2 linked regions of the Drosophila melanogaster genome follow. Changing the gene in region 1 together with any one later gene gives a genetic interaction. Each region holds a gene or a part of one and is shown on either strand. Other genes may lie near its edges.

Region 1 (7,810 bases):
GTTCTCTGTTGATAAGAATCTATGGATTCATATTTGTACACCCATTTTATATATACTAGTTTTTAGATTAAATTAAGTGCTCTATTTATATCATTAACTGTCCATGAACTTGTAAACTTATATATTCCCAACTTAATCATCATAGTTACCCCAACCCATATTGGAGATCAACTCCATAATCCTTGATTATATCAGCATAGAATTGAAAATAAAACAATTATATGGCAAAGTATGATATTTTTAAGTATTTAACGCCTTAATTACTTGTATCGCCATGAATGAAGGTCGGGGTTATCTTTATTGAATAAACCTTTTTCTGCACTCGCTTGCAATAAAAATCCCCAATTGTAAAATTAAAGTATTAGAAACGGCGAAACCTTGGCGGAAATTGCGATATCCATATCGCATATGGTGTATATAGTCGATCCTATAGTTCGAATTTTTTGGGTTGAGTGAACTGAGCCCACCAGCCCCTTTGCGGACCCCCCCCCCCCCCCCCTCCCATCGCACACACACTCCCCTCATCCCAACGACCAGAAACTTATCTGGCCGGCGGCTGAAAGTGAAAATCAAGCCGAACGCTCGCGCCGCTCTCTCGTAACTGTTTTTTGAGTTCTCGGCTACGCTTCGGCTGGCCGCTCGTGACGTCGACGTTGGCTCTTCGTTTCATTCATGTCGCGCTCGCCGCATGCCGCCGCTCACCCTTTCCCGCTCCCGCTCCCGCTCCCGCTCGCTCTCGCTGGAGTTTCGGGGGAATCCACGGCTCTGTTTCATATGAATCACATATCGCGTATACGCTCCGCGCCCCGTATCCCCCCGATCAACGACCACAAACGGCGTGTGTGTGTCATTTGCAATAAACGAGCGTTGTGAACTACTCAAACATATTATCGTTAAGGTCATTTCTTCTTCCGAACCGATCCGCTGCGGTATCAGCGAATTCGTTGTTTTCCTTTTTTTTTTTGGGTGGGTATGAGCGAATGCATGACGTCAAAAGGCCGTCGATTCTCGGTATCGAAACGATCCATCTAAATATAGAGTTCTTCTATCAGTCCCGTTTGCCACCTCGTCGTCGGATCGGGTTCCGATCTGGGGGTTCCGTTTCACTCTGTTCCGGGGATGTCAACAATTAGTTGGCACAATTGGCATTGACGTAGCCGATATTGGCCAAATATTGACACACATCCCGAGCGGCAAGTTCCCGAGCTTGGTGCAGAGTGAGAAAAGGTGGATCGACTGGTCGAATCGAGTAGTGTGTGATCAAAGGTATCTACTGAAAAACTCAACACGAAAGAGTACTTATAAGCAGCGAAGGCAGTCAATTGTTACCCTCATTTTCTCACAGTGTGATCCGCGAGGCCCAGGTACTTTTCCCAGACTATGACGACAATTGAGAAATTTCAGCGAAAGCCAAACTTTGCTCATCGCCCTGAATAGACGATTGAGTGGAATCGCTGGCTAAGTGAATGAATGGATGAAATGGAATGGCAACTATGATGGGACTGGCTAAGTTTAGCAGAACGGGTAATTAAAAAAAAAAATAAAAACCAAATTCCCAGGGGGTGGCGACCTTTGAGACTCCACTTGCACTCTGAACGCGACTTTTGGCTGACTCGAAGTGAGTCGGCGGTTTTCGCGGATCTTGACCACACTTGAGATTTTTCGCCGCACCTGCGATCTCATAAAAGTATCTGTTTATGGCCACGCCAAGTGAACTACACTCATCTGGTTATCTGCAGATATTACTGTCCTATACGAAACTTTCCCGGACACCAAGGAATTAGCACGTTGGGGCAACCAAGCCGATCTCGACCGATTCACGAAGCGACATCCACCTCATTGAAATGTGGACTAGACCCTTTCTAGTGCACGGCGTTTGTCATACTTGGTCACGTATCGACTGGTACTCCGTGGCAATCATTTCGCAAGTACCGCCATCCACATTCCGGAGCCCACATTCTATATTACTTCCATTACTTCCATTATTCACTGGCCTATCGGTCACTCCGGGTTTTTCCTCAACTGGTCTTGCTCATTTCACCGTGTCAGTGCGAAAATATTTCCGAATTCCCAGACCCCGACAATTTGGCATTACTAAACGGTTCCACTCTATTAACATCAAACTGTCCGCAACTCGAGGGTCTCGAAATTGAAAAGCTCCATAATTTTCCTCTCGCCATAATTCAGATGTCCGTGGCGAATCCAATTCGAAATTTGATTAGCTTCTGTTTGTTGTTGTTTACTTGTCAAAAGTGTAAATAAAATGTGCCGCTTGATTTTATTTTGTTTATTCAACAAATTATCCACTTCAGATACGAATTGAGATTCGGATTGAACTTCGTTTTCAGATTCAGATACAGCTTCAGCTTCAGCTTCAGCCTCAATTCGGATCGATCCAATCTACGGATTGGCCATAAAACGTGATCGCTGGATCAAGGCCGGTTTGGGGGGGATCGCGATGGATCTATATAAACAATAATCGAAAAAAAAAGCGCGCGCGCCGTCAATTTGCTCTTAATCTTAATGTGGTTATGGCATCGATTGCTAATGTTTTCCCTCGTGCTGTTGTTGTTTGCTACCAATGCAAATCGACGGTTAATGGGGCGTCCCGAAATGCCGGCTAATGCTGACAAAACGAACGAGGTGCGATCGAAAAGTTGGCGGCACTTAAGTGCTCAATGCAAGTTGCTGTTGGAAGTGTTGTCAAAACAACTCCATCATCAAGCTAGCACATATGAACTATATACATATCTCAATCTTTATTTCCTTAGTTTCCTTCATACCCCTCTATATAGATTGATAAATTCCCTTAATCACGCAAACAAACTATGGCAACAACTCTCGCGGCTGGCGGCACGATTCCCTCGGATTCGGACTCATATGACCGCTCCACTCGCCATTAGCTTGTGACGGCCTGTTTGCACCTACGCAGGTGAACGGGGCGAACGCCTCACGTGACCCTCTTTTTTATCACCTCAAGCTCCCTGGCAACAGAAGAACCCCCCGCGAGTGTTTGATGTTTGTAAATGATCCAGTAGTTCTTCACATGACGATATATGCATACATATATTATGCTTATGGCATATGGACGACACTCACCTGTTTGCTAGTGAGATTCAGACGGGGCAGGAATCTGTAGTTTCCCTTATAGAATCGCCACTTGTTCTTCTCGACAATGTCCAGAGTCTTGGTGCTCACTGTGGCCAGCTTGTCCGCATTGGTGGTGATCCTGGCCTTGTCCTCGGCCTGGATGCCCCGCAGCTCGCGGCCCGTTTGGTTCTGTAGATTCTGCAGGATCTGAAATAGATACAAATACATATATACATATAGATAATAGTGTGTGAATTAGTTGTGCCAATTTATTTATCAGCTAAGAGCCAACTTTCGCTTGAAACTTACCCTTTGGCGTTTCTTGCAGCGTTTCGCCTTGCTGTGCGTTTCGTTCAGACCCGTGGGCTTCAGATTGCAGGTGTTCTCCCAGTCCAGATGCGTACTGCTGGCATTCAATTTCTGCTGGAAGGTCAGCCGGAAGTTGGCCGCTCTGGAACGCTTCTGTAGGTGCTTCAGGGGATTGGTGGGATTGATGGGACTGGAGGGGCTGTCAGTGGGCGGGGTGGCCAGGTGACTGGGCGCCGCTGAGACGCCACAACCGCCGCCGGAGAGGGCAAACTGGGACATGGCCAAGGCGAGTAAGATCAGTGACCAGTTCCTGTTCAGGCGTCGTCGTCGATCCACGAACGGCGGTTGCGGCTGCGGTTCCACTGGATTCCTGGTTCTGGCCGTTTTGTTACCGCTCCGGCTACCGCTTCCGCTGCTCCTGCTGACGTCGAGCGGGCGGTCAGCTGTCGTCTGTGGATGGAAAAAGTTCCGAAATAAGCTAAACAAAATTTATACAAACACGCAAAGCCCTCAAGATAACACAGTTTCATTTTTTTCCCACCCATAATGGCTCGAGTTTCACTACGACTTCTTGACGTCACATCTTCGTCAGACGTCGTCGGTGTTTAGCATGAGAAAAGTCTAGCAACAGGTTATACTATTATTAGTTACCAAAAAAAAAAAAAAAAAAAAAAAATCAAATACGTATGTTCGATTTTCAGTTATTTACATACTCAAACTTTGGCCGAAAAGAGGGTTCGGTTGGCCAAATGTATTCCCCCTGCCGAGGGACCAATTACCATAAGTCAAGACTAACGGACGCTGCGCGGACAACTGAACTGAACCGACTGGTTATATATTATCTTGGCCAACTTTTGCCAAATATAAACCAAAATTCGCGCACGTGATGGTACGGATGTGTGATTGTGGTGCGATTGTTTTGTGTTATTTTGTGTGTGTTAGTGCCTGAGTGGGCGAATTATGATGATTGTTGGCTGCTTGGGGATTCCCGCTGGACGCACTTATGCGCAAACCCATACGCACACATATAAATATAATCGCAATTGTTTGGGGGGCCCGAAGCATGCGCGATTTGTTATTATTATCGTTTGCGCTTTAGCTACAGCTACGGCCATTGCTAGTGCCGTCTTTATCTGGCTGAAATAATTATTTCAAATTAAAAATAAATTTCTTTATTTAGCCAAATTATCATGAATCATCGTGTGTCGGGTGGAGGTCGACTTGCAAAGGTAGTGGTGATAGTGGTGCCACCGCACTGGCGGTGGCGGTGCTATCTCATATTGTCTGGTGGGGTAGGCTCCAATCGCTCCACACGCCTCCTACACATCGAGCAGCATGGTCAACGAAACATTGGTCTTGCAAACTTTTGTGAAATTCACTCTCTCTTGCCGTGCGTTTTCGCTCTCCGGCTCTTTATCGCGGTCCCTTTGCCCGGACCTTGTCCTCCTGTCTGTGCCGAATCGCTAACGCTTGTAGTGACAACCGCTGACGCATCCAATCTTCAATTCCTGCCAAACACCAGCAACACCAGCACCACCAGCACCACCAGCACCACCAGCACCACCAGCACCACCAGCACCACTGGCACCACCACCCCCGCGGCACGAAACGTGTAAATTAATTTCACATGTTTCGCTCTTTTTTTGGCCATTTTTCGTCAAAAGGGTTTTTTTTTACAGTTGCAATAACTATTAAGTTAGTTGCATAAGTTGTGTGGTTGAATGGAACAATAAGTTCCCAATAAGTTAGAATAGTAATAGCAAATAAATGCAAGTCGCCCCTGTACGATTAGTCATACTCATCCGAAAATAACGTCCATAGGTTTTCAAATAACTTTGGGTTTTTCATAATTGTAATAACTTTAAAATGCTATGATTCACATGTGGAAAAATGAACTTAACATATTGTGCATCATGAATTTATAACTTGTTTTCAATGCCTATCACCAAACAGTGTCAGTGATTCACGAATGAGTTTCCCCCATGAGAGGCTGGAGATGATGGTCCCTTTCGGTTGTGAGCCCTATCCCCATCTCCAATCCCTAAACCCATCACACCTCCTCCTTGGGGCCAATTTCATCATGTGTGGGGTACGTGACACCTCACCTGACCATTGCAGCTCTTGGCAAGAACTCTGCGGGTTCAGAAGTATCGAGCGAAAGACACCTGTACCTATCAACAAACCGAGCACGCACAGGTGAATTCTCTTATCGGCAGCAGAAAAGGCAAATATAAAATCCCCGAAAAAATACGCGCCTGCGGTAGTTACTTGTACTTACCATTTACATAAAAATCGTTGGCTGGGAATTCCGCACAAAAATTCGTACTTGATTGACACGCACTTTGCTTTTGTAACGCTGTTAGTCTTTTCTTTGTGTGTATTTGCCGGAAAGAAGCTTCCAGAATGCAACGGGGAAAAAAACGAAAAAAAAAACTAACCAATAATAAAAGCGATCGCGATTTGGCGAATTTGGCGAATCAGGCGAATCAGGCGACTTTGTCGAATTTGTTGAATTTGTTGAATTTGGCTGCGTATCTTTGTATCTTTATATCGCGGCTGGACGAACTATCGCGTTAAGTGTCGACGCGCTGCCTTCGACTGTCTGCTATGATTTGATTCCGATTCGATCGAAGTCGAAGTCAACAGCGCTGTCGATTTCTTGCCGCTGGAGAGCGTGGAGTGGAGTGTTGTGGAGTGGATTGGAGTGGCTTTCTCGCCGTCTTTGCGTTGTTTTTTTGTACAATTTTTGCAGTAGCGTTTCTTCACTTTTTTTTCGCCTTTTCGCGTGCAGTGGTTATGTGTGTATATATATTTAGTTTTTTGTTTTTGTGGCCGGCGGAGACTGACTGAACTCCTCAGTTACTATGAGCATACTAATGAGGAGGCGGACGCCCAGTCCGCCGGTCATGTTCGCTCCGCTCGAATCGCCAAAGAAGCGGAAGAGAGACAGGGAGAGGCTCTCTCGGCTGTCATGAGTGTGCAATCGCAAGAAAAGCGCTCAAAACATTCGCCGAGTGCCAAAAACAACGCGAGAAAGCCATAAAAAAGCACAGCTGAGCGATAAAAAAAAACAAAAACGACTCATAGCGGCTGGGTGTGGACAATGGGTTACCCTGTACCCAGGGTACTAGCAACTAGGAGCAATAAGATACGCTGAAGAAAGCATGGAAAAAAGCAGAAGAAAAGTATAACTTTAACTAACTTTAGTTAACTTTAATAATACTAAATATGAGAGATAACATCTAAACTAGGCAACAACAAGTACAATCATCCAATAGCTATTCGATTGAGACCAATATTTGGTTAGTGAACTAGTAACAAATGTCATAAATATTCTATATTACGGCCATTCCGAACATAATAGATTTATTACCAATATTACCCAGTCGTAATGGGCGTGAAAAATACAAACGTTTAGTGAATGATTAGGCCAGCTAGATTTCAACACGATGAGAAATACTCACAGCTCTCCAGCGCTCCCCTTTGGGGGATGACACATAATCGGCGCACTGGAGTGGAGTGATTGATCGATTCGTCGACTGGGCCGATCTCCACCAGATAAGGTCGCTGGGAGAGCTATTCACTGTCTCTCCCGCTCGCAGATAAACAAAACATGTGTAATTTGCCTATTTGCCGGTCTCTGGGGAACGAAATGAGCGGCTACTTGGCTCTTATCGAATGACTTTCACTCGGCACACACTTCCGATTCACCGTTTCTCCGGATCTCCCGTTCTCCGATTTCGATTCCGAGACGATCGTTTCCGATCCGAAGCGAAACGATCCATTCCGTTCCGTTTTGTTCCGTTCCGAAGTAACCCCCGCAAATAGTCGGCAATTTATGGGGGTTGGCATGAATTTCAGTTATTTCCGTTCAATTTCACAAGAATATTACTCATACGCTCCGTCGGCCGCCGACAGCCGTCAATGACGACACGATTTGTTCAACCGCGAGCCGGGCTCTCACGCTCGCAGACACGGCGATTCATTCATGATTGCCGACTACGCTCCACCGGTCGACAGAATGCGGATGCCGAGAGGGGGTAGGCGCAACTGCGGGGTGGCGGTCTAAATTTCACCGCGCGCCAAAACCATGATCAATCGAAAAGTAATTGAGCACTCATCGTTACTCATGGCCAAAGTGGCGACGTCTCCGTTTTGTCGTTTACCGTTTACGGTTCACGCTTTGCCGCGTACCATGTACCGTGTACCGCTCACTGCCACTGCCACTCCCACTCGCCGTCGGCCGCCCAACGCCCACCGCTGGCGGCCAAACTTACGGATGGTGATCGGTGTCATGATTTGGCCGAGCTATTTTTAAACCATTGTACGAGGCACACTGGTACGGATCGGGTAACTGCTGCTTTTGATTTCGGCTTATCGTGTTGATCTGTCCAATTGGCGGATATTTCGA
Region 2 (4,843 bases), on another chromosome or scaffold:
GAAGGTCTTGCCTTCGGGGATTTCAACCTTGTCCATGGCATACGAAAAGAAAGATATGTTTTCCGCATTTGCAGAACTGTTGCCCAAGGAAATCTCAAAAAAGTTTACATTAGCTTATGTTCAGTTGAAAGTAAACCTTACAATTAAATGATAAATAATCAAAATAAGTCGCATAATAATCAATATAAACGGATGACAGTTGTGATGATCCAACCGAGCCCCCGATTTATAAACATACTTTTGGCAACTTTTGCATTGTCAATGCCAGAAATCTGAGTCATCTTAATAGGGTACCGTAATTGGTCACACCAGAGATGATCAACATAAAATAAATGTTTATGATCGTACTTATTGCTACGTTTATAATGAACTGCAAAGAGAACCGGATCGAATTACAAATCTGGGCAAACAAAAGCTTGAGCCACCCACCAAAAAGTGGTTTGCGAAACGTTTGTGCCGTTCACTTTTCTGTGGGCAAACAATTACGAAAGTTTTGCATTAAAAATTAATAGAATGGAAAACTTAATTCCAACTGTTGCACTTGGAGCGTCAAAGCGCCAATTGCTCGCCACTTGGAAGTGTGATCCTTGGGACTGTGAACAATATATGAATAAAAACTGAGATATATGTATGCAATTTCAACTTGATTTGCAACTACCACCCCGAAGGTTAATTTGCACAACTTTTTGGCCAGCGATAAACGTATGTTTTAAGTATCTCGAATATGGCCAAGATATGGAGGGGAAGGTCTCTCCGGGTTTATCGACTATATTTACTATATATATGTACACACACACACATAAATGCCATGATAACGGGCCAATGTCAGAAAATCTGATAGTCGCAAAGAAGCGAAGTAAAGCGATTGCGTTTTACTATGTGTCACGATTGCGGGAAAGGAAGGAGGAAACGTGAGCTCCGTTTTGGTTTCCACCGCAACAGGTATTGTAAAACTTCGAGTGGCCAAAAATGTCATACATTCAACGAGGTGAAAAGCAGCCGCAATAAAATATATATAACTTAAACGCCACCCGACAATAACAGACCCCTCGAAGATCTCACTTTTTGTGCACAGAACGTGACAAAAAGACAGACGAACATAATAATGGAAAACCAGTTTATAGAAAGAAAGAAAGACCCACCGCCAGATAATAAAAAGTGCTCAAAACTTAAAAAAAAAAAGAAGTCACAAATGGCCAAAAGGCGAAATTGATATGCAAGGGGCGTCGAGTGAAACGGTTAGAAAAGCTTGATGGCATTTTTGGGGTATTGTTCGAAAGGGGTGAATGTGGATGGGGGATGGGGAAGGGAAAGACGTTTCTTTCCACTTTTGATTCGATGCTGCCGACTGACTAAATAAATCGCAATGCATAAAATGCTAACTAGGCCAAAGTCACAACAAAAGACGCGAAAATATTGAGCCAAAGACGTCAGCAGGATGGCGCATACAACGCAGCAGCCACAACAAGTCGCCCCACTGCCCACTGCCCCGCCCACCGCCCACTATCACTGTCACCCCCACAAAAACAGACACAATAGCAGTCGAAATAATAGTTAAAAAACATGCATGCTTGTATTACGAAGGATTAATCATTTGATCACTCACAGTTGAAAAATGTAAATAAAATAAATATGTTAGCACGAGTTATTTTGTTTACCCAATCTAATATTTAAAGGCCAAGCATCTAACTAAACCCTGCGAAACAGGTTAGCTATACAATCAGACCATATGTTGCAGACCTTTATCTATGGGATTCTACGTGTAAACAAACAAAGCTAATCAGATGATATATGTGTGTTAAACATTCAATTTCCAGTGCTGAGACAGTGAAAGCTCTCATTGAAATGGCTAATTATGCAGTGCTATTATCTCGACCGCAGCTGTATGAGTCTTTTTTGAAAATAGAAAATGCTTAAATGCAGCACGCACGCACACATGCAGCGGCAAAAGGGGCAGCACGGGGGATTCCCCTTTTGAGAGGGGGTCTTCCGGAAACAAGCCAAACATATAGAACACATAGAACGGTGGTGGAAGGAGAAGCAGAAGCAGAAGAGGAGGCAGAGCCAAAAGCAGAAGCGACATGGAAACTAGGTCAACTCTCGACGCCATTGGAGCAGGCGAGTGTCCGACCGAGAGCGACGACAATGACGCCCGTCACACCCAGGCGCAACTAGCTCAAGGCCAAATCCGCACTGCAGCGGGGGGTTTGGGCGAGTCCTTCAACCTTTCGTTGGGCGAATGGTGGGGTGGGCTGCCGTTTTTAGACCGTCCTTGGAAGGGATTTGGATGGGATCTAACCGCATCGCATCTCACTTACCCGCTGCGAAATGCAATGGTGTGGATTTGCGTCCCGCCGTATCCCTGGCGTTCACGGTCTGAGGCGTTATTAGCTTCTTCACCTTGGCGATCTCGCCCGTTTTGCAGGCCTCGAAGAGCTCCCTCAGCGGATCGTTGGCCATGACCGCATCGAGATTAACGCTCAAAATGGCCCGACTTCGGCTGCTGTTGGCCATTGTTGTGCTTGTTTGCTACGCTTTGGCACACACACGCCCCGAAAAAAATAGGCAACAAAAAACAAGCGCAATATTCAGTGGGCTTTCGGGTTTTCCACTCCCAGTCCAGTTCTCTCCTCCAGCAGTTGCTCTGCCCGTCCTACACAAGCCTCGCCGTTGTCCGTCGCTGGCTTGCCCGCATCCTGTATCCAGGTGTCCTGCCTATGCCGCAGGAGCAACAATTTGCCACTGGCTGCCACGCGACCAGCCCTCGTTTTTGCTTAATATTTAATGCACAATTGCAGACCCAAAATCAATAGGATTTCTTTGGTTCGACACAGCACGGTTGCAAGGATCGCGGTTGGCTACGATTCGTTTTTACTGAGACTGCGACCAACTCTGGGACTAGCTCCCTGGTACTTGGCCTCCAAAGCTCTGGGCACGGACGATTATTTCCGGATTAATTCACTGCTCCGCGAAATATTGCATTGTTTTGTGACCGAGTAAGAGTGACCGTTCGCGGGGTGGTCGAATATTCCAGGTTGAGTCAAGCGGTGTGACCAGGCGACGGGGCAAGCCATTCTGAAAAAATACTGAAGTCCTCGAATCACATAAGCTTTTCCATTAATTATATTTTTTAAATTTAATAGCTTATGTTCTCACAAGGTTTTACACAAATTTGTGCTTCAGTGTGCACTCACTATTTGGTGAAAAGCGAAAAGACGTTTGCATCTATATTGTGTTATAAGAAACAATTTTTTTTGTTAACCAAATAGACAATATTCAATTGGTGGTACAAAAATTAAGATCATCATTTTTATGAGCTTAAATTAGAATTCTTAAATTAGAAAAGGCCATGTAGGAATTTCAATTATCCTAATATAAGCACATAAGCCTATTACTAGGGAAAAAATCTCAAAAAAATTTTTTAAAATAATAGCAAGTACCTGTTACAACAACATGCAATCCCAATTGGCATTGCTATCGATAGCTTGAAAAACACCTGTTTGGCCATCCCTGGTTGGCTGTTGGTGCAATCGATTTTTGGCATCGACTGGATGCCCATGCCAACAACAATGTTTGCTTTTAAAATTTAGATTAAATCCGTTAAAAATCCGTGAAATCAAAACAAAAGCAGTGGAGCTGCTTCACAACAAGATTATCGTGCTTACTAGAAAGTGAAGAACCACGGAGTTACCGCGCCGGAAGTACAAAAGTAATCACCAAATCGGAAATCCGAAAAGTGAATCAGAATTTTTCTAGCTCACACACACACGCGCGCATACCCGCACGCCCAGCAAACACTCATGCAAGCGTATGGAACCAGTCGTGTTGTTGTTGTTGCTGTGAATAAGTGCAAGTGAAGAAGAAGCAGAAACTGTGATCGGAAAATTAAGCAAAAAAGAAAAACAGGCGAGGAAAAGTGGGGTTGGGGAAAAGCAGACGGAAAAGTGGAAAGGCGGAGTGCAGCTAACACGCTTCGCTGGCTGCGCGACAGCAGAACGCCAGTCAAGCGCCAAAAACCATTAGTAGAACCCCATTTCCAGCTGGAGCGGCACAAGAAAGCAATTTTCTGGTAGCAGAAACACCAAGAAACGAAAATAATTGGCCGATCTTTAGAGACTCGACTCGACGACAATTAGCCGGAATGGAGCTGAAAGTTTGGGTCGAGGGCATCCAGCGGATAGTTTGCGGCGTTACAGTGAACACCACATGTCAGGTATGTGAGCTACAGCAGAGGTCAAAATAATAGCACTATTATCTTGTTAAAGCATTTTACACTGCTGCAGTGCTGTTAATGTGACCCGAACTGTATGCGCTCTGTTTGCTAGTCAGTTTGCCCTAATTATCGTTTTATTTTCCACAGGATGTGGTTTTTGCTTTGGCCCATGCCACTGGAAAAGTGGGCAGATTCACTTTAATCGAAAGGTGGCGCAATAACGAACGCCACCTGGCCCCCAATGAGAATCCAATGAAGCTGCTGCTCAAATGGGGCGAGTATGCAAATGATGTGCAGTTTATATTACAACGTTCGGAAAACAAAACACAGCAGCAGCAGCAGCAACAACAACAGCAGCAGCAGAACAATAATAATAATAACAACTATGCTGTGATGACAACAACAAAAAAGCCGCTGGGGCCGAACAACAATAACAATAATAAGCCAGCGCCCACTTTGCTAAAGCAAAAGTCGAACGTCGAACTCAGCTACCGCACAAAGGAATTGAAAAAAAGTTTCGGGTGGGTGGTTTTTATATGCTAGTTAGTTTGGAAACTACCCCTTAAAGCGCTTACCTAGCCCTAATTGTTAATAGGCTAACAAACTGTGTTTAAATATGCACCTGTGCGG

Evidence for each region.
Region 2: of upd3 (region 1) and Tnks, changing one suppresses a phenotype caused by changing the other (phenotypic suppression), as found in Drosophila melanogaster (one study listed by BioGRID).

The regions. Positions count from the first base shown.
Region 1 is NC_004354.4:18,275,473-18,283,282, reverse strand, and holds the start of upd3 (unpaired 3), read right to left. Parts: upstream 6,051-7,810; 5' UTR 5,681-6,050; coding exon 5,678-5,680; intron 3,850-5,677; coding exon 3,400-3,849; intron 3,298-3,399; coding exon 3,100-3,297; intron 1-3,099.
Region 2 is NT_033777.3:25,658,274-25,663,116, forward strand, and holds the start of Tnks (tankyrase), read right to left. Parts: upstream 3,014-4,843; 5' UTR 2,515-3,013; coding exon 2,319-2,514; intron 2-2,318; exon of another isoform or gene 1-1. Other genes in the region: RASSF8 (Ras association domain family member 8), read left to right, coding at 4,142-4,213, 4,361-4,734. UniProt on the Drosophila melanogaster protein: Stimulates proteasome activity, probably by ADP-ribosylation of PI31. Modulates 26S proteasome assembly.